Linked DNA regions of Oreochromis niloticus. The main gene of each other region encodes a partner of the protein of the gene in region 2 in a complex. Links are inferred from orthologs where the notes say so. Each region holds a gene or a part of one and is shown on either strand. Other genes may lie near its edges. The genes, in order: zcchc7 and tent4b.

Evidence for each region.
Region 1: tent4b (region 2) and zcchc7 share a complex: the UniProt entries of both Homo sapiens proteins name them as parts of the nucleolar TRAMP-like complex. The link is inferred for Oreochromis niloticus from reciprocal best matches to the Homo sapiens genes TENT4B and ZCCHC7.

The regions. Positions count from the first base shown.
Region 1 is NC_031971.2:22,407,972-22,418,995, reverse strand, and holds the start of zcchc7 (zinc finger CCHC domain-containing protein 7), read left to right. Parts: upstream 1-6,169; 5' UTR 6,170-6,327; intron 6,328-9,864; exon of another isoform or gene 9,865-9,929; intron 9,930-10,789; 5' UTR 10,790-10,835; coding exon 10,836-11,024.
Region 2 is NC_031965.2:31,683,462-31,694,035, forward strand, and holds the start of tent4b (terminal nucleotidyltransferase 4B), read right to left. Parts: upstream 5,326-10,574; 5' UTR 4,938-5,325; coding exon 4,402-4,937; intron 1-4,401. Other genes in the region: heatr3 (HEAT repeat-containing protein 3), read right to left, coding at 8,424-8,537, 8,724-8,900, 8,968-9,111, 9,502-9,590, 9,731-9,867, 9,980-10,062, 10,354-10,508. UniProt on the Homo sapiens protein: Terminal nucleotidyltransferase that catalyzes preferentially the transfer of ATP and GTP on RNA 3' poly(A) tail creating a heterogeneous 3' poly(A) tail leading to mRNAs stabilization by protecting mRNAs from active deadenylation.

The DNA.
Region 1 (11,024 bases), on a different chromosome or scaffold from region 2:
AAATGGAGATCCAACTATACACAGCTTTTAATGCTATGCCTGGAGCGAATGTGAACCACTGTAATGCTGGGTTTAATTTATATTTAATAATAATAAACTTGTATATCAGGTAAAGGTGAAGCAATACACTTTACTGCATTTCCCATCAACTGTAGCAGAGAGGAAGGCATCAGAAATAGAAAGTAGAAGTACCTTAAAATGTACTCAAGTGTTCATTAAAATATTTTGTCTAACTTTAGAGTGAACTACATTTACATTTCAAAAGAAAATTCAACAAGACACACCTAACTTTACCTGATAATGATGTTTTGTTTGCTACCTAAATGTTATTCTTCAGTCCAAAGCCTCACATTCAAATCAGCACTGTATTTTTTCATATTTAAAAATGAAAGGGACAGAACTATTTAAAAGCCTACTTATATCTTATATACTTCTTCATTTTACAAAAAAGAAAAAAATTAAAAATTGTGGTTTTCCTGCTTTTTATATTTGTTAATCCTTCCTTAAATTCTGGAGTATTCAGTAACTTTTGTTTTTCAGCAATGTTATATGAATAAGTCTCACTCAGGGTTTCTAACTTAAAGTGTATCAGGTATGGCTTAAAAAAATACTCCCTCTGATCCACTTATATGTTACATTTCTTTACAGTAAATCAGAGAAACCTAATACCGACAGTCTTGAAAAAAAAAAACAACTTACCTCTGGTGCTCATTGTTTTCCTAGAAATACTCAGAGCCACAGTGCTGATTGAGCTTACCTCTGTATCCCTGGGATTTAATTCAGAGTGGCACTTCACTGTGGCGACACAAGGTTCCCTTTCTGCGGCCATGGTGCCTGGGTGTTGTTGTGGCTATAGAGGCTAGAAAGGGGGCTTAAGGGCTGCAGGGCGGATTGAGAAATGGGACACATTATTTGTCCATGAAACATTATGTGACACAACATGACACCAGGCCATTTGTATGTAAAGGTAAACATTTCAGCGTGACAATTCGACAAGAGCGGACAAGGCTCCTGTCAATGTGGTTTTATACTTGCAGCTGAGAAAGAGGTGTTGTGGCATCGTGTGGTGATGAAGTGTGTATGTGGGACTTTGTGTGTGTGTGTAGAGCTTGTGTTCACAAATTTAATCCCCATAGACACAAGTCACTTGGTCTGGCCTGAGAAGGTGTTGTCAGGCTTGCTCTCTCGTTTTTTTTTTCCTATTGAAAGCATGGACAGACTGTTGATCACAGAGCTTCACAAAAACAGTTTCCTCTGGGTGTGCACACAAGCGTGTGTGTGTTTCACCTGTACTTGACATGCATTCAATATGATAAAAGATCATCGTCAGAGAATCGTAATAATGCAGGTTAGATTTTAAGCAGCAACCTAAAACACATAAACCCTAAAGCATCCCGGTGGCATTGCTCTGGATCTTGATGGCTTGTTGTCTCTTAAATTAAGAGATAGTTTAGTTGTGAGCCCTGATCAGATGCATTGTACTTTCTGGTGTCAACAGAGTGTCCAGTCACTGTGTTCAGTATTGTAAAACAACTCATTTTAAATGAATTTAGCATCATATCATGAAGTACTTTAAGTGTCAGGTTTGTCATTTCATCCATATGGCCCAGGCATAATATGAGGTCATTTGTGGCTGATCTGTGTTACAAATTCCATGTCTGAAGAGAGGTTTGGAGATCAAGCTTGCTAAACTTTGAGTAGAACTGAGAAAACAAAGAAATATTCTCTTACATGGTACAAAATTACAAGCAATACCCCAGTGACGAGTTATCATTCCCCTCTGGTTGTGCTTTATCATTTGTTCCTTCCTGCCTGTGAGCTTTGCCACTGATTAGTACATGCTCTACTTGGCATATTAACTCCAGAATCTACTGAATCTCTCTAATACACCACCAGTTTCTTATCCCGCAAAGCTATTTGATGCTGCAGTGTCTCTTAGAATTAATGAGAATGTAACACCTGCGTTAATGTGACCAAAAAGATCAAACCTTGACTGAGGTGACAGATACGATAGACTGCATGCGATGCAGTGAAAAAAAACCCAGTGATGATGGGGCTTATACATTCTGCATATCCAGAATATGTGAATGACTTCAGCACTGAGGGCCCCATATGGGTGATGCACGGGAGCCATTTTTGTTCAGAAGCGCTGATCCAGGGAGAGCCTTTTTTTTTTTAAGGGAATTCCTTCTGCCCGGCTGCTTCGATACAGACCGGACGGTTGAATTTACATATATACAGTAACAAGAAAGCATGTGCCAACAGTAGAAAGGGAAGCAGACCTCTTTTAGAGAACTGAAACGAGCTGATGCAACCAGTTATGGATGGAGTAAACATCTGAGCAGATGCTGGACGTGTTTTTGAAACACCTTACTATTACTTCTAGATCTCCAGCTATTAGTTTCCTTTTTCAATACAAATCAGCTCCACAACTGTTTGGCTGTTATATTTAGAATTTTTTTGAAAACCTCTATAAACATTAAATGTGAAGCAAGAAGGTAAATGCAGAACATTTAAATTTGGAATGGATGCCCATCGTGTTCTTTTTTGAGAGAATGAGTGCACTTCCAGATGAATCTCTTAAACCCCAGTTTAGCTTTTTGGGGCTTGTTTTTGTTTTGTTTTTTTGATTTTACAGTTTGACTTGCACAAAATATCTCTCAAAATTAAAAAGCTGGGAGAGTGTAGGGCTAAAATTGGTCATATTATTTTGAGACACCTTTACTTATCACAAGGCCAGGATTAAGTCAAGCTCACCTTCACCTGCTTTTAAAATTAGAGAGTGACATCAGCTCGACAATGAGCCACTAAAGACTTATGCTGATGTTGTTATTGAACCTGTTCTGATCAAAAATTCTTAACTTGAGGTGCACCGAATTTGTAGAAAAAAATGTGAGGTTTAATAAAAGACAGGTTCCTGTTGGAGATACTCCATTGGTGGGATTCCGAACCTGCTGTTGAGAATAAAATGTTTTTTGCTTTGTTAAAATATTCTGCTCTCTCTGGCCAACAGCAATATCTATCACAAACAAATTGACATGCATATTTCAAAACCAGTGACATTTCTTTGTTTTTCATTCGGACTTAAATAGTTGCCAACCATTGTCCTCACAACTGATTATTAATTGTATGCTTACTCTCGGGTAAGCATATTCCATGGTTTCTCATAATGCAGTCAGAAGCTAGAGGTCAGATTTTTGCCAGAGAAAGCAAGTGTTCCACTGCATTTTGTACAGGTTCTTCAAATCACAACTGCAGACAAAAAGAACAGAATTGGGGCTTTTTTTTGTCGTCAGAAACACACTTTAGTACAAAAATGACTATCAGCTGTAGAATATCGCCTTTACACCAGAGCGGCTGACAAGAATCCAGTTTTGATAAAACATTCCGGAGAAAGCTTTTCCACGTCGTCCGATGCCAAATGGAAAGAAGGGGCCGCTATGGAACATACAAACACCACCAAATGAGAGCAATGACATGCTTCTTTTAACTTCTTCTCTTCAATAAAGATCATTCATCAGGCAGAACCATCCCTTCTGGAATGTGTGATTGGAAATGAGGGGACTTTAAATCCCTCTCCCGGACACTCCATCCATCTTCAACACGCCACTGGTCTGGGCACCACTGGCCTGGAGATGAATCGCTGAACCAGATGCCTCCATTCAGCCGATCTCTTCTACCTTCATTTAAAATAATAACAGTAAATACCACCAAATGCGTAGAACCCAAAATCAGGCGGTCACATCACAATTTCACTGGGGCAGTCAGGCATCTCGGACCTGCATCCAATTTAGAGAGATACAGGGAGGCAGAGGAAGCAGAGGGTCCCACGCCCCCCCATATGCACCTCCTAAAAACAAAACAGATGCACGACATTAAGTATGCACCCGTGTGTATGCACAGGTGTGTGTATGTGTGTGTCAGAGGTATATATGGACTAGAAAAGGTGATAGTGTTGTGACATGAGGTATAGACTAACCTTTGGAAGGAAACAATCCAACTCTGTGATGGCCTTTCCTGTGATGACACGCATGGAGAAACCTCAGGAATCAGATGGCATTCACCCTCTGATTCCCTATCATAAGGCCATTCTCTCACCATTATTATGATGGCGACGTTTATAGCAGGATATACAGAGCTCGTAATTATTCTCATGCTATGGAGGCGAGGGAGAGGGAGATGGATGTTAATGTTACACAGCTTGCACAAGAGCCAGGATGGCATAATTTTGCTGTATTCTACGTGTCATAAATATGACTGATGGCGATACCCAGTCTGTTGAATTACATTTACATATAGATTTACATTCCCATCAACATGTAATAAAGGCACAGGCCTGAAGGTTCATACTAGTCACTCACACATTCATGCTCACACCCAGTGAACATACCTACATATTCAGAGGATTTACAGCTGATATTTGGACCTTACTGTAGATGTATACATCAAAGAAATGATGCAGTAAAAAAACATATAGGGCCCTGAGGGATGTTTTGTCTGCAGAAACAATATTTGTGGAAGTAGAGCAGTCTGGCTGACTTCAGTGTCAAGTTTGACAATTAAAAGTTTAGCAGAGGAGGTTCGCTTTCATGAATCACAAAGAAAATCCACCTTAAGTACGCAAGACTTGAATACTAACTGTTGATGATGCAGATCTCTTACTTTGTTGACAGTTTTGGACAATTTGTCTTTGTCAGCAAAAAGCTGGAAGCAAATGAGAGGAAATGGGTAGGTTCCTCATTTGGACTTAAACCAAATGAGTATCTCCATTCCCTTGGCTGCCAGCACACTAACAAACTATTTAAACCAGTGGTTTCATATGATGATGCTTATCAGTTAAAGTAAGAAAGAAAATATTAATGAAGCCTACCTGCACAAGCAAACAACCTACAAACAACAACAACAATCTTTTTTTCTTCTGTTACCTTGGGGTATATGAGGGATAATGACCTTCAGATCTTTTGAGATAAACACATTTTCATTTCATCTTTTCTTCATTGAATCAATGTTGGAATTTTAATAAGAAAATGAATTTTTAGTTGAATTGTTCTAAAAGAAATCCAAATCAAAGAAGAATAATCTCCTTTTATATCAGAATAGGCTATCATAAGCAGGGTGCCACCGGGGGGGGGATGCAGAGGGGCACTGGCCACAGCCCCACACTCACACACACACACACACACACACATACACACACACACACACACTATATATAAGGCAGGGAAGACTGTCCTATATTGGTAATAATGTAATAATGTTACAGAAACGCTTGAGCCAATCCCTGGACACATCACTGGTGGATCTCAGGGCCAACACAGAAAAAGACAACAGTTCACACTCTAACATGATCTAATATTTATTTGAGAATCATTAAAGCGGTGGTTGGGACTTCCAGTCAATCAATCATTCAAGACAGATTATTATGGAATTCAAAGTCTTCTTTGGTTTTCATATAAACCTTTTTTTGGTGATATCAACTTTAATAGCAGGAAATTAACCAGGCATATAATTATTTTCCTTCTCTTTTCATTGCAATATTTTTGAGTAACTTATACAGCATTATAAAACAGGAAATTCTGTTTTTGGTGTGCCACCCCAATATTTTTAGTGGACCGCATATGGCCAACCCTTTGAAAACATTTTGGAGGCACCCCAATCATAAAATGAAAACATAGATAAGGAAAAACCAAAACTAAATGTACAAGCAGGACTTGAAAAAACAGTGCATATCTGTGTCTCTATATAATTAATTATAATTCACTATAGTAATTTAGTAAAAAAAACATTTTACGAAATATAGTTTTTAAAAATTTGCTGCTTTAAATTGTAAATGTTGTGTTTGTGAAATGCTGTATTTTATTATTTTGTCTCTGTCTCTTTTTTGTTTAGTAAGTTGCGTTTTTTCGTCGTTCTTTTTTTGCTCTAAAAACCCCCATAATTGTTCTACCTACAATACTGACACGACACAGGCTTGTCAGTTGTTAGTAATGAAAAAAAACGCCAAAAATACTTCTTTTAGGTAAAGGGGAGAAAACGAGCGAAATACGGTCTCAAATAACTATTTATAGAATAAAGGCTCTTCTTCTTGGTATCCTGTAAAAAAATTAGCTGTGTTGGGGAAATCATGACCTTTCAGTGTCCGAGATGCACTTTGTTTCAACACTCATAACAGTAACCGTCTTCTTCGCATTCGAAGTGAAATGTTACGGTCGGCCAACTTATTTTCCTCGGACAAACCCGGAAGTTGTTTGTCTGTCTCCTGGCTGGAGGCGCAGGAAAAGCAGCTCCAGCCTCCGGTAGCAGTACTTTTCCAGTTTGTTTCCAAAGGTGAGCTCATACACACTGACATTATATATTAAGCACACACAGTGGTGGCCTTGAGTAGGGCTGCCTCAGCTCCTTGTATTTATGTTCTTTCATGTGTGTTTGAGGCTGAAACGCTCCGTTGTTTACATCCGAGCAGTTGCTCTGCTGCTTAGAAACACGTGGATGGAGTGGAGTGAGACATGCCAACCAGGGACTGCCAGTACGCTAAAATAACTTTTAAAAGCCCGTGCTTAGCGAAAAATTCCCAGCTACCTGTATTTTATGGCGTGTTACTGTTTAGTGAAGCCTCGGTACTCTGATAAACAGCTAGCATGTTCCCCAGTAAGCTAGCTCGTTAGCTTTGAGCTAGCCGGGCTTACCATTAGGCTAACTACACAGAGTACACAGTTATAAAACTGAAGTTTCTGTTTGTCACTGCAGTGTAACCAGGCTGCTGGATGTCCGAGATGTCAGCCTGTCACTCTAGTCTGTTTTTGGCAACCTAACTCAAGTCAAATGACTGCGTGGATGTTATAAACTGCACATCGCAACCTTAGCATAATCACACATTCACTAAAATAAAGAAACATTTATGTATAATCAAAAGGCGACATTACACAGAGTGGCACCAGTTTTGTGCAAAAGGCGACTTCTGATGTTTGTGTGTATGTTTTAAACTTGTTTTTTTTTTCTTAAATTGTTAAATAAACTCTACTCAACAGGATTCGTGGAGGGGTTATATATAAAATAAATAAATGACCTGTTTTTAAAGTATTTTTATGACTGTGTAATTGCACCTCCATTAAAATCAATCCACTCCTTTTTGGTCACTAGATATATCTTTTGTAACTGTGATGTTCTACAAAACTGTGATGTTTACTGGGATACATAAATGATATCTAAAAGTTGCTTTGTCAGATTCTCATTGCATCTTCTACATTATGGCAGGGAAGTTCTGGCTTAAAATTACTTATTATCATTCATGAAAGATATGTTTCACATAATTTTCACAACTTACAGGCCAATAAGTCATTTACAACAGGTTAAATATGGGCAATCATTTTTTGGTAGACACTAGAAATCACTTTTTGGGAGATGATCACTCTTTTGCATGGCACTGGTTAAAAAGTGAATATCTAGCAAAACATTGTCTAGTATTCAAACTGCTGACCTGTAATATGTCAGACATATCTTGCTTGAATGATATCAAGGTATTTTGCGCCTATTTTGCGCCAGAAGTGCCATATAAAGTTATAAGTGGCCAAAATGGATGGTATTGGTTATAATGTAGAACACAGACTATGTACAAAACGCAGAATCTTAAGGACACTTGTCTTTATTTTATCTATTACTCCCTTCAAAAATCATTCTGAAGACAGCTTATGTACCAATGTAAGAAAAAGATATCAGACATAAAACACACAGAAACATAAGAAATCACTTTTGACATAACTCGTTCAATGCCTGGCTGATACTGATTTTTACAGATTGATACTGATTTTTAAAGATTGCAGTGGGTGGTATGGTGGTGCAGTGTTACTTGTTGCCTCACAGCAAGAAGGTCGTAGGTTTGAATGAAGTCTGGAGCTTTTCTGTGTAGAGTTGGCATGCCTGCCTCGCAGCCTGTGACAGCTTAGTTAGTTTCCAGCCCTCTTGCAACCCTGAAGAAAATAGGAGGATGGATGGATCTATTCCAATGTCAGTATATCAGCCAATATGTTTTTGGATAGCATGAAGTACTGCAAAAGTGTTATATGTAATGTAGTCACCAGTCCTTAGCTGGGCAAACTACATGCGGAGACCATTTAGTTACATCAAGTTAATCCAAGCATCTTATAGGCCATTATCCTCCAACCAATACATTAATAGATTATTATTGGTTCAATAGAGTTTGTCCATTCTTTTAGTATTGCAAGTATAAGATGGCCTCCTAATTATTAAGATGATTATGTGCTTTGAAGAATTGTGCTCTGAATGATACAAGACAAGATCAGTGAAGTTGATTCAATGTTTTTTTTGTTTTTTTGTTTTCTTGAAACATAAAATGTACTTTTCTTAACTGCTCATCCACCTCAGGTGGATCCCAGCTGTCTGGAAACCTTTCTGTCATGTCTGTAGGGACAAATGACCATTCACGCTCACGGTCACCTCTCTGGACAATTTAGAATCACCAGTTAACCTAACATTCCTGAATTTTACTTAAAGCTTCTCAGATACATGCACATTCACAATTGAGCAATATGAAGGTGTTTTCTGTTCCTATGATTAGTTAAATCTCACAGCTATGAAGTAAATTTTCAGAGTTCCCAGTTCACTTTTTTTTTTTTTTTTTTTTAACCAAAGCTACAGATAAATTAAACCTTGTATTTCCTGTTTCGGTGTAAACCCATAGGGACTCATGTGTGAATATGCACAGCTGGCTAATAGAAACGTCAGTGCTTGATATTTGTTGATCTCTAAATTCATTGTGTCCTAATGCAGCATTTGTAAAACACATTTCAGCTGCATTCATAGGTCTTATCCGTGCAACAGTTATGCTAAAGTTTGTTTAAATTTTTCGATTTAGCTAAATGTCCACACTAAGAAGACGAGTACAGCTTGCTGCATTCTATTCTAACTGCGTTTTATTCTAACTGTCTGATCTATATTAAATCAGACATTTAGACTGTGAGCAGGATCATGATTAGGATTGAAACTGAAGTAACTAAATAGAATTTAGACACCTTTGCATCTTGCCTGTTGTTTTTTTCTTCACTTTTTTTTCCTGGCATGTCCAAAAGTTTTCTGTGGAAAACCCCTCTTTGGTTTTGGTGAAGCTGAGTTGCTTCACCAAAACAGATGCAATGGAGCTAACAGAGTCCAGGGGTGTTGTTCGGGTAGCATTTTAATTGAGAAGATTAGGAGGAATCACCTGTGTTGTCAGACCATGACTGTACCCGACCTTTAAGTACAGTACATTAAATTCCACTACTGTAAAACACAGTCCGTCATTTGTCGGGTCCCAGCCCCTGTGAGCTGCTGAAACTTTCAACACAACGGTCGCCCCTCACCAACCGGTAAGATTTTCTGTCCCTTTAATCCCTTGTGGCCGGCTTGTGACCGTGTAGCGTGGCGTTTATGCAGTGTGTGTGCGGCCTGGGAGCCAATCATCTCCAGCCATCATGGCACAGACACGCAGGACTGGACAGAGCAATGGGCCGGTGCCCCTTCTCTGTCCACTTTCTGCATGTGTGTGAGTGTGTGTGTTAGAAAAAGGCAGACAAGCACTGGAAAAATTAACAACACAGTGCGGTAACCAGCTAATTCAACAGTTTTTTTGGTGTCACGTTAAGTGTTATTTGAAGTCGTCACCTGGCAGGTAAAAAAGTTGGATCCTGTTTGCTTGAGCCAATGAACACAGCTCCGATGGAAAAAAGTCTGCGTGTTAAAAAAATAAATAAATAAAAAAAGTCTGAGTGCTCTTGAGCTGTGTCCACTCAGCTTTCTTAACAAGGCCTCATGGTTTTCAGAGTAAGACAGAAGTTTCCTGTAATTGATGTTGGCCTGTTTCTCCTTCAGTTCGACAGTGCTGTGGATACACGGCAGATAACTTAAGAGAGGAAAATGACGACAGCACAATTCTGGTAATAATGTAGGGCTACTAATTAGTCTTGTATAGTGGACCTGACGTGGTTGATCAGTGTTAAATATTTGAAGGGTGAGATATAAAAATTTCATGTGCACAGATTTAAAAAAAAAAAAAAAAGAAATTCTAAACATTGCTAGAATTGGATTGGTATTGATGATATCAGGCAAAATGAAAACTTAATAAGTTTGATTTTTTTTTTTAATTTAATTTTGAATCTTTTGAAAAACATGCTCAGTTAAGGGAAAGGTTGGTTGCAGCAGAGGAGCACATCTTTTTCTAAAATTAACAAATGTACACTATTATGACACTAGTAAAACCACATTTTGCTATTTGTGCCTTCTGGTTGTGATGTTCCCGTATAAATCACCGAGCAGGTGAATCTGAATCCAAAGTGATGCTTTGCAAAGAGCCACGCATAAAGAGCTGCTGGTTGGTGAGCTGTTATGATTGCCTACCTAAAGCTGGTTTATGTTGGTGATGGTAGCCAGTGTTAGCAGTTTAGAAATTAATTGTTAAAAAAAGTGAAGTTTCCCACGCGTAAGAATTTCTTTTGTTTTTTACTTGCATAATAGAAAACTCTTTGATTTTTTTTTTAATTGTGGGTTGAGTAGATTAAGCCTTTTATTTCTTTGAGCTTTGGGAAATGTGAAAAGAATTTGATTGACTCATCTTTACAAACTAAATGATAATAATTAGTGGTCAATAATTGTAGGCTGTTTAATTAAAAGTAAACTGGCTGTTTCTTCTTCTTTGTCCAACTATAACACAGCAGTGTATTAATAATTTATAATTTGATGCTTGATATTGAGTTAGACAATGTGATGCTATATTATGTTGATTTTGTGTGCTTTTCAGCCACTGAAGTCGCCATCTCCGCAGGTGTGTGCATGTGGTTGTGAGGATGTACAGTGTCTACCAGGACCAGGAGAGATTGGAGGATGATCTCTATCAAGAGGAAGAAGAGGACTCTGATGGGTCAGAGGCCAACAGTGAGGTGGAGTTCCACCTTTATAGCCAGCTCCACTACTCATCCAACCCTGGGGAACTAGAGGAGCAGGAGGGTGAAGAAGAGCAGAACCATGAAAGAGAG
Region 2 (10,574 bases):
GCATGACCAGTGGCTTTAGTTATTTTATCAAAAGAACTGAAATGCTCATTTTCCACTTTTGCTTTATGCCACTTTGTAAAGGAAAATTTGTGTGCCTATCCCTACACTACATTCTGGGTACACAACCAACAGCCCATAACCAAATAACCAAGACACTAGATCTCAGTAGAATCCTGACTGGAGGAGAAGAGGGCTTGAAGAAGAAAAGGAATAACCAAAATGACACCAACAGTAGCCACAGTGGGCAGTTTATGTTGTTTGTCGTTTTTTGTTTTGTTTATTAAAACAAAACAAACAAACAAAAAAAACGCTCAGCTACAATATAGACTATGTCTGCAAATTTCTGTGTAGAATGCACACAATGCTGTTCTCCTAAGACTGCAGATGAAAGGCTTTAGAACAGTTTTTCAAACATGTGTAACCAACACTTGCTCAATATTATTATATGGCTCACTTAAATAGCTCTTATTAATCACAGATGAATCACAGAGAAGAAACTTGGAAGATTTAAAATGAGTAATGCAAGATTTCTCTGGTCATGTTGGCATGATTGTCATAGCAACAGCAACTTATAAAGGTACAACAATGAATCTTGGACTGAGACAAGCTAGCTTGCATGCTAATAAATTTGTTAACAGACAGGGTGATGACTCTCCACAAGGATTCATTTCACCTACAGTTCATCAAACTAGAAGTGCAATCACTTCATTCTCAGTATATTTTAATAACCTGATTTGACTGACCAAAGCCACACCAGATGATTTGAATAAAGCTCATCTGGTTGGCTAACACCTGTAACAGCACTTGACAAGACGAATTCTACTCAACTTTTCGCTGCAAGCTCAGCAAGCAACGCAACAAATCCATAATTCAATTCAGCAAAACTTAACATCATCCCGCTAAAAGTGCAGGTGGAGATGTGGTTAACCAATGAGCATGGCTTGGGTATGATCTTTAGAATTACCCAATTTTTATGAGAATAGACTTAGGGTCAGTCTTACTGTGAACCAAAACTGGTGACTGAGCCTATAAATTCAAATTGTTGAAAAAGTTCAAGACAGAGGGTCATTACCTCATCAACTTCAATTGATGTTTTGCAGACTCATGTCCACAGATCACATGGCAATAACTTCTACACCATTTTGTCATAGTGACAATGTAGGATCACGTGAATAAGGCATGTGGTTGCATGTGGTTGCTAAAGGTTGAGTGCAGTTGCTGGGAAAATTATTACTAAAATCCCCACCCATGCACGCCTAAAGACTAGCCAGCTAGCCCCTTGGCAACCACTTGTTGCTAGGGAAAAGTGTATTTCCCACCCAGTTGGTTAAATAACAGCCTTGTGATTGCTTTGGTGACATATTGCTACAGTTGTACTTTGAATGGGAATAACTGATTGTCTAAGAAACACTGTCCAGCTACTCTCCAAGCTGTAGTGAAACTGTGACGCAAACTGAACATGAAGAGGGTTCACCTTCAAAGTAAAAGCTGTGCCTCAGTGGTGTAACCAACATTTTGCAAAATACAGAGCTTTTGCTGTGAAGGCAAGCATTCTCCATTTCCAGTTTACCATCGTACCCTCTCAAGTTTTACTATTTCTGGACTTAGAGTTAGCTCCAAGCAAAAAAATGAATTTACCAAAGAAAAAAAAAAAGAAAAAAAAAAAAAAGAAAGAAATTGGTGAAACCAATTTCACCTAGCGACACACAGGAACTTGCCAATCAGTTGGGGAATACACATTTTTCCCCTAGCAACCAGTGGTTGTATCACATCCAAAATCCCAGCCAAATCGAGAAATGTGCACATGACATAAATAAAATAGGACGAGGTCTTTGAAATCCCAGGCAACTACATCTTTATCACAGTCAAAAACAGTAGAAAATTTTAGTCTTTTTAAGCAAGAACCAATCAGCCACAAGATACTGATCACATGAACAACATGACCATTAATGCTAGCACCCATGACAGCAGTGCTTTTTAAAGCCACTGATTTAAAGTATATTCCATCTGTCTGACTCAAGGTGTTGCATTAGTGTGCTTCCAGGCTACAACTCCCTAGCAACAAAACATGTATAACAAGGGATATTTAACAATGAACCATTCACATATACAGTAGTTCTGCACATGTTCACTTTGAAATACATTTACTGTACTGCCATACATCACATTGGCCCTGTGATTAACTACAGTATGGTTAAACAGAAAGCCTTCCGTGGTGGTTTAAGTTTGATTCTGACTCTGAGGTTCAGGTTTTGGTATTAGCCAAGCTAATCACTAAGGAATGTCCTTAAGCAAACACAGGGCTACAATATTACTATAAATGAGAATCAGCCAAAGACTAAACTCCACACTAGGGTGTTCTGCTTGTCTGCACTTGCCTAACAGAAAGGGGTGGGGAAAGAGACAAACTTCTGCCCTTTAAAAAAAAAAAAAAGAATATTAAAACAGAGCCCCACCCACCAAAATATTTCCCCACAGTGATCACATCTAAAAGAAACAAATGACAAGAATGAAAAGAAAAAGCCAAAAAGTTCATATAGGCCCTCTTCTCTCATTGTATCATGTAGTTCAATACTGTAGACTAATACTAGAAGACTAAATGTAGTAGGAGTAACAATATAAGCCCTGCAATTTAAACGTGCATGCCCTCTACGGAATCAAATCTCATTCTCAGTAAATCAAGTGAGAGTCTCTCAAATGAAGTGATCGTATAGTTTAGTAGCTGCCAGAATCTGCTTTGTGGAAATTATGAACCAAATAACTGCTGAAGTTAGCATTAAACTCCAGTATTTTTTCCTTTGCATATGAATAATTTTGGCACCCAAAGAGTTTTTGACCCCTCTCCAAAGGAAAAGCATTAGGACTATAATAAATATTTCAAATACAACCAGATTTTATGCAGGGTTTGTTTGTAAGCAGGGAAACAGACTGATTGCCATAACAATGCTATAACCATGTTGACCACCCATAAGTGCTGGACAAACACCACTGTCAAAAATTCTTTTAACATGCATTTTCTTTTTCTTTCACAGTGCACTCTGTGTTAAAATACACAGCTGTTATTGGCTAGAAATAACAGGAAAATAATTTAATTCCTTAAAGGGGGCTACAAACATTCCTTAGCTGTCCACAGACTAACAGCACTTATGTTCACACTGCGCAGGCTAATAGAAATCCACAGTGACACTGACTAAAAGGCCAATAACAATCGTAGTATAGCATCCATACAGCAGATCTGATCTACCATCAGCCCAGGTTAGCAAACCTGTTTCGAGCTGATTTGCATTCCTTCACCTTGTATTTGTCAGTGTCATGATGTTATTCTTTACCTTTGCCATTTGTCCTCTGTCATATCTCTCACCCTCTGAGCATTTGTACACCAGCATTGAATGCCATTAACTGTTTGTCCTCTCTTTCTCCTTGTACTGCAGGTGTGTTTGGCTCAAGAGCAGAAGGCTTTTGATCTGCAGTTACTGACCCCCACCAACTTACTGACTTTTTATTGTACTGTTTGTCATTTCTCCATTTTCCTTCTCTTTGCTTCCCTCTCCTTATAATCAGTTGAAGTGGTCTGGTTCTTCCAAAGGTTCATTTCTATTAAAGGAGTTTTTTCCCTCCCCACTTTCGCCTAAAGTTGTTGGTGAACGCAAACATGAACTTTACCCAGCAACAGTAATGAGTACGTATAAGAACAAGACTGGGTACACTCATCACTTAACCCTAAATGATCACTATAACGTTCTAAATACTACAGAGGCTCATATGGTGTTGAATATTTATCCAGAACCACGTAGAATCCAAATAATAATGAGACTGTAACAAGGAACTGATCATCGATATGCAAACCATAGAGCTTAACACCGACTCTCTTAAGTCTCTGCAACTTTGGAGGGATAAAAAGCCATTCTTCCACAATATACTTCCTTATTTTGGTGTTTCGTGATATTGGCAGAGAGCACTATCAAACTTTTTTCTTTTAACTCTGGACTGCAAAGGACATACCATATGATTTTGTCCAAGACATGTGAACTCACACCACTCTCACCACACGAATTCTCACTACAGCACCTTTTCATAACCTTATATAATAGTCTTAAATAAGGTGCCTTTCAACCAAAAGTATTTAATGTTATGCTCAAGTGAGCCTTAATGCAATTACACACATTGCACATGGTTGCCCAACACGATAGGTGGAGCTGACAAAGTGGGTGGGGATGGGATCTTACAGCCTCAATCATCTCAGCATGCAAGTGTTCAAGTTAGGCTTTAAATAAATAAATAAAATACTGCAGGTGAACACCTACTTGGGGTTACACATTCACACCCTCATTAAGGGGTCCAATACAGTAAAATAATTTATAAAGGTTCTCTCTTTTCCATCTTCATTAAACTCTTTCTTACCCTATAATTCCCTCTGAGTAGTTCCTTTCTTTCCATGGCGTGCCCGTGTAACCAACATATTCTTTATTGTCACCGTTCAAGATGACACTGAATCCGAAAGTGCTAGCTTTGTTGTCCCTTTTTCTTTTGGGGGGCTGTCCGTCCGTGACTCCGCTCACAGCGACCCCGCTGCCTTGCTGTTGCTGCCCTCCTCCACCGACACCGCCCGTACCAAAGACTCGGCTGTTGTGGTTGCTGTTAGTTTCAAGTGGTATAAAGTCCCCCTGTACTGTCAATTCTCCATCCCCCATCGGGGCCGACATCCCCTGAGTCTTGGCTTCTCCGATGCCGCTGCTTTTTGTATCGGGTGCCTCGTTTCCTTCCGCGACGACGGCTCCCGACACCCCGTTAACGTTAGCTTTTGGGCTCGATACAGTAGTGTAGCTGTTATTCACGTACAAGTAGCTAATTCTCTGTGTCATCTCCCAAATCTGCATCCACAGGTTGTTAGCGGGTCCACGTTGTTCTGGTTGGAACCAGGCGATCCTCGGATCCATCAAATGACACTGTAGGCAAACCGCCCCCCCGCCACCACCGAGCAATGCTCAGCTCGTGTGCAGCTAGCCAGGTCGCTGGCTAACGTTAGCTAGCCTGCTGTAGCCTCGTTATAGCTGCTGCCCGTTACTTCTAGAATCTACTTTAAAAAAAAAAAAAAGAAAAAAGAAAGAAAAACAACAGGCTCCCTTGTAGTAACGATGAAGACAGTTTTCGACGCAAAAACATCCACAGCGAATAAATCAAGAGCTTAAGTCAAGTATTAAAAACGGTAGCTGAAGCCAAAGTTGTAGCAGAAGACTGGAAAAACGTGCAGGCACCGCTGGTAGAAGTACCTCTCTGACCCTTTCCTCCAGATCGTGGGTCCCTCAATGGCGGCTTGTATATCTGTACTTCGCATGCGCGGAGCGAGTGAAAAGGGGGCGGGCAGTGTTGTTACGCAACAGACGACTATTTTTTTTGTTACATAATAACGTCTGATTCTCCTTATTTGATGATTATAATGGGAGAAAACGTGGGAAACGCGTGATATATAGTGCATAAATAACACGCTCAATTAAGTTAATTTGAAGATAAAAACAAATAATTAAACCAACTTTGGGAGGAGAAACTCGGGACATATTTGATGATTTTAATATTTCCGTCGGGAAAAAACTGAAAAGAAACTAATGTTTAATATAGAATTATTTATCTTGTAAAATGTTAAATTGAGAGGGGAAAAATTTTCAAGAAAAAAAAACAGCCTTCCTACTCCTTATTATTAACTTACATCTTAGCATACGTACGAAACAAAACCTTATTGAGAGCCTTGCTTTTTTAAAATAAATTATGCTGAATGTAACAGACACCCTGGATTTTCTTTGATACTGCCTTTTCTTACCATTAATTGCACATTTTTAAAATAATGCAAAAGAAAATAACCTCTAATTCATTCATCCATTCTGTAGTAAAAACAGACACTTCGAGCAAAGTAGACTTGTACTAATACCAATACACTGTCTAGCATCCCACTTGCTGTATGAAAGCACTTTATTAATTTGGGGTTGCTGATGTCGAAATTCATACTCAATTTGCTCTACAGTCATGTTATTTCACAAGTGGCAATTGTAAATATGATATGAAAAGATGGGGGGGTTTTCTATTTATATGCTCCACTACATCCAAACATTGACGAAACATCAAAGATTTAATGAAAAAGGCATACTTTGTTCATTTTAGGATGACAGTGGGTGACCAAGATAAGCCATAGGCATCTCATTCAGTTTGCTGGGTGTGTGTCAAGAGCATGGATTAAGGGAAAGAGAAAAGACTTGTGTTTTGGTATTCCAGTCTAATCAAGGGAGCCACAAAAACACTTTGATAACTGCCACTTCAGTTTAATCAATATATTTCTAGATACAGTTCCAAAACAAAATAATTTATTGTTTACCTTAACCAGGCATCAGTAATGAGACCTGTACATCCTTCAGATTAAATACCACATTCCATTTTTATTGGCTCAGGTAATGAGAGGGAAGAGTCTGATGGGGTTTTTTTCCTCCAGAGCCACAACATTCTAATGATTTTGAAGATTCTAGTGGCTTATTTGTCACCTGGTCATTTTGTACATATATGTACAAGATTTGAATCTGCTGAAGGAAGCAGCTGGGTTACTTTGGTCTAGGATCAGTGATAGGATCACTTAACTGAGAGGTCAAAAGCCATCTTAAAATGTATCCTGCTGCATAATAGCCATTCTGGTCAATTGGTCATTCTGTGCAATTAAAAGAAGGCTATGCAAATATACAAATTGTGTTGGAGAAGCTGAAATACAATGAGCACAAACAGGCCATAAGTGAAGAAAAATTGATTTGCTTTTTTTGACAAAACTATGAGACTGAATATTTTTATAGGCATTTTTTAACTGAATTGAACAAGGTAATGTTTTTTTCTGGAAATCAGCAGATATTTTATATTTTGAGGCAGGGCAGCAATAATCACCCAGAGTGTTTAAGTACCACTGAACATCCGAAACTTTGAAACAACACTCATGCAGAGTAAATATAGTTCACAACAATACAAACCATGATTTAACAGCTTACAGATGAAGATGCAATATAAACTTCTAACCAGGTAATTAAAAGTCATTATTCACGTTTTTTTTCAGCTAATCTAATAAATGATTCTACAAAATCTCAAATCTTATACAAAGTTCCCATACTTAGTTTTCAAATTCCCAAAAGCAACACACTTTTTCAGCATTTTATTGATCAATTCCAATACTTAAAAATATATGATATGCTGGTCTTTGAATATTTTGCAGTTATGGAGAGAGACAAGGTAGCTGTTGCAACATACTATGAATATTGTTTAAGGTCAGTAAATTGCTCAGTCAGCATCCACCATACTTCCCACCCACGTATGCTCCATGTGGAACAAGGGGGTAGGCTGAATGGTTTGTTGAGTAGGAAAATGATGCGAGTCACATGCTGTGGGGGTTTTGTAGTCATTAGATCTCAAGTCATCTGAACACCTATGAGTGATTTAGGACCAACAAGGCTATGCTCTCAACCACCATCATCAAAACACAACATGAGGGAAAATATTTTGAAAGCATGTTTAGTCCCTTCAGTAGATTTCCAGAGATTTGCAGGCAACATGCCAGTATATATTGAAGCAGTCCAACACCTTATGAAGATAAATTAATTGAGATTGAGATAAATTATCTCAGTGGTTCCACCAGTTTGTATTTGGAAGGTCATGGAAAGATTCCTGAAATGGTTCACATAATGCAAAAGAAGAACACTGAGAAAAAAATCAGGGTTTATTTCAAAAAGGCTATTCCTTCACAGCCTGGTGACATCTTCACACATTAATTTCATTTTTTACTGAAATAAACTGCAAGTTTATGGATATTTTGTTGAAAAAGTCTAAGAAACCACTGCAAGAAAAGCTAACAAGCTTTACGTGAATTTTTGCCAGTCACGTATAATGATATCCACATTATGATCGAAACAGACAATGCTGGGATTTAGACAGTTCAGATCTGTGTATAATGTTACTGAAAGATTAAAAAAAATCTACAAAATTTACCACCAATCTCCTTCTATTACTGAAAAAACGTGTATGCAGACCAGTGTCTTCATTGGAAAAAAACAACAACTTAGAATTTCAAAGTACAATGCATATCCAGATGGATTCAAAGAAGGATGCCCATAAGAAAAGTTGGTGTCAGATCCCACACCTGATCTTTAAAAAAATGTTTCAATCAGACATGAAAACACAAACTCAGTCTCAAAATTGTTTTGAGTTAAATTTAAGTGGGGAAAAAAAACTGCCGACTCCAGCATACAATAACGGTTATTACATTCCCTTCGCTCTGCACACAAACAGTAAACCATCATTTAAAGAATATAAACATAAATACTTGATGGTTTCACAACCATATTCTGTCTCGTTCTATGCTCCTGCTAGCATATTTGTCCAAACCAAACAGGCTTTTATAGTCCTCATTTTTTCAACACCTTCTCCAGATAACCAATAAATCTTCTCAGGTTCACTCTGATGTTATCCAGCACACACAGCTGCTGAGGGCTGTATTTGCCTTTTCCTTCTTTACGAATCTGGTAGTGGAAAAAAAACAAAAAACAAAAGAATTGTTATTCAAAGGAGAATTCGCACAATGTAGTGGCGAGATAAGACAAAAATAAATGTGCTAGGTATATTTCCAGGAAAAAAAAGCATAGCTGAAAAAATATTGAAAAATTATCAAGCACACAGATCACTAAAGATGAATTTATCTTTGGTACCTTGGTCTTGAAGACAGGCTGTAGTGCCTTCAGTGCAGGCAGTAAACTGATGTTTTTTGCAGCCGTCTCTGCCTCCTCTCCATCCGCAAACACATCAAACAAAGCGTCAAGGGCTTCTCCATTTACAACGAGTTCAGGATCCCTTGTGGCAACTTGAAGCAACGCATTTCCGATCATCTGTGGAAGAAGAGGTTCTTTGAGGAAGAACAACTTTTCCAAAAGAATAAACGAGAGAAAGAGATACCTGGAGGGTTTCTGCAGTGCCCTTCTCTTTGGCTAATGTGCTGCCAGTGATGCCAAGAATGGCGACGGCGTTGACCCTCACACTGACAACATCACAGCGGGTGGCCGTTTCGCTCAAGCTCATCAGCTGCTGGGGGGTCATACACTAGCAAAAACAAAAGCCAAACGCATAGATACTGAGCTGTCAGGAAGAAAAACGGTCAACAGAAGCAAGTGTGACGTGGCAGTGGATTTTAAAGTTCAGTTCAAGGCGGAAATTTTATATTCAGGTCGGTTTTTATGCAGTTACAAAAGACAGAACTAACATGTGGAGTATTATTCAACCTGTACACTCCTGTCATGTGTTCTGCAGCCATGACAACAAAGACTATGTAATTAGGCACAGGGAAATGTAGAATCAAGCATTTTTATCATTTACCCTCAGCTAGCGGCTAAAAGTCGGGATATCTCGACCTCGGCTGCACGGACTTTGACCTCTTTTTGTAATCACCAAAACTGATTTAGTTGTTTATTTAAATAGTGGCGTCTTATCTACCTGTGGGATATTTTTGGAGGCAATCATCTGTAAAAGAGATCGCATGGCGCTGATGACAGCCTCTAGAAACTCCTCATCTTTGGGAATCTCTGAAAGAAACAAATGTAGTTTCGATTTGTAGTTTCCATTCTCACAAATGCATACTCCCTTTTTTTTGTTGCATTCTTTAAAATAGAAAAATAACAAATGGTACTATAATACTGCAGAAGAAGTTTTATTAATGTGAGACCTGGGGCACCAAAGACCAGAGAGGAGAGATGCTGTGCTGCTTCCTGCAGGGCTGTCGCACCACCCAAAGACTCTGCATCCATGGTGGAGAGGATACTGTGGAGGCAAGTCAGTGCCCGGGATTGAACACGCTCCATCCTAAAAAGAAGGTGTGACTTTTTATTTAAAAATTTAAAATTTATAAATGAGAAAGAATAAAGATGGTTATACTCAGACAGTGAAGATTAATGGAAGAAGAGAGGAGGATTACTTTTTTATCAGGCCTCTCCAGGAGGGATTTTGATGGCACAAATCCACAGTTTCCTTTTTAGGGAACTCTGTCTTCTTCAGAACCTTAAAACAGGAAAAAACAAAATTATGACAGGCCTTTTACATTTGGGAGTGGCTGCGTAGGTGCATATAAACTGTATGTGAAAGTGAGTTCTCTATGAAACTGCACAAATAACTCAATCCATTCAGCCTCTGGGAGAAGATGGGTGAGGTTCACCACATAATCAATCTAATCTGAAGTTTGTAATTACAGCAATGCAAGCTAAAATGACAGCTTAACAACATTCACAAGCGCGTCAAAGCTTTGGTGATGAACTGGCTAAGGTGTGACTGAAGAAGCAGACTGTCATTTGCCTTTTGTGGTATGCTGTGGTTGATCAAAGCCCCTTGAACTTCAGCTGACAAGCACAATGGAGACATCAGATTGGACACTCCATCACAAAGGCCATCGGGACCCATGTCGCTTTCATCACTGCTTGATTCCTCCTCCCACTCGTCATCAGAAGGGTCTTAACATGTGCACACACAGAGTTAATTAGAGAAATTAACCATGAAGATGTTTTTTCTAGATTCTC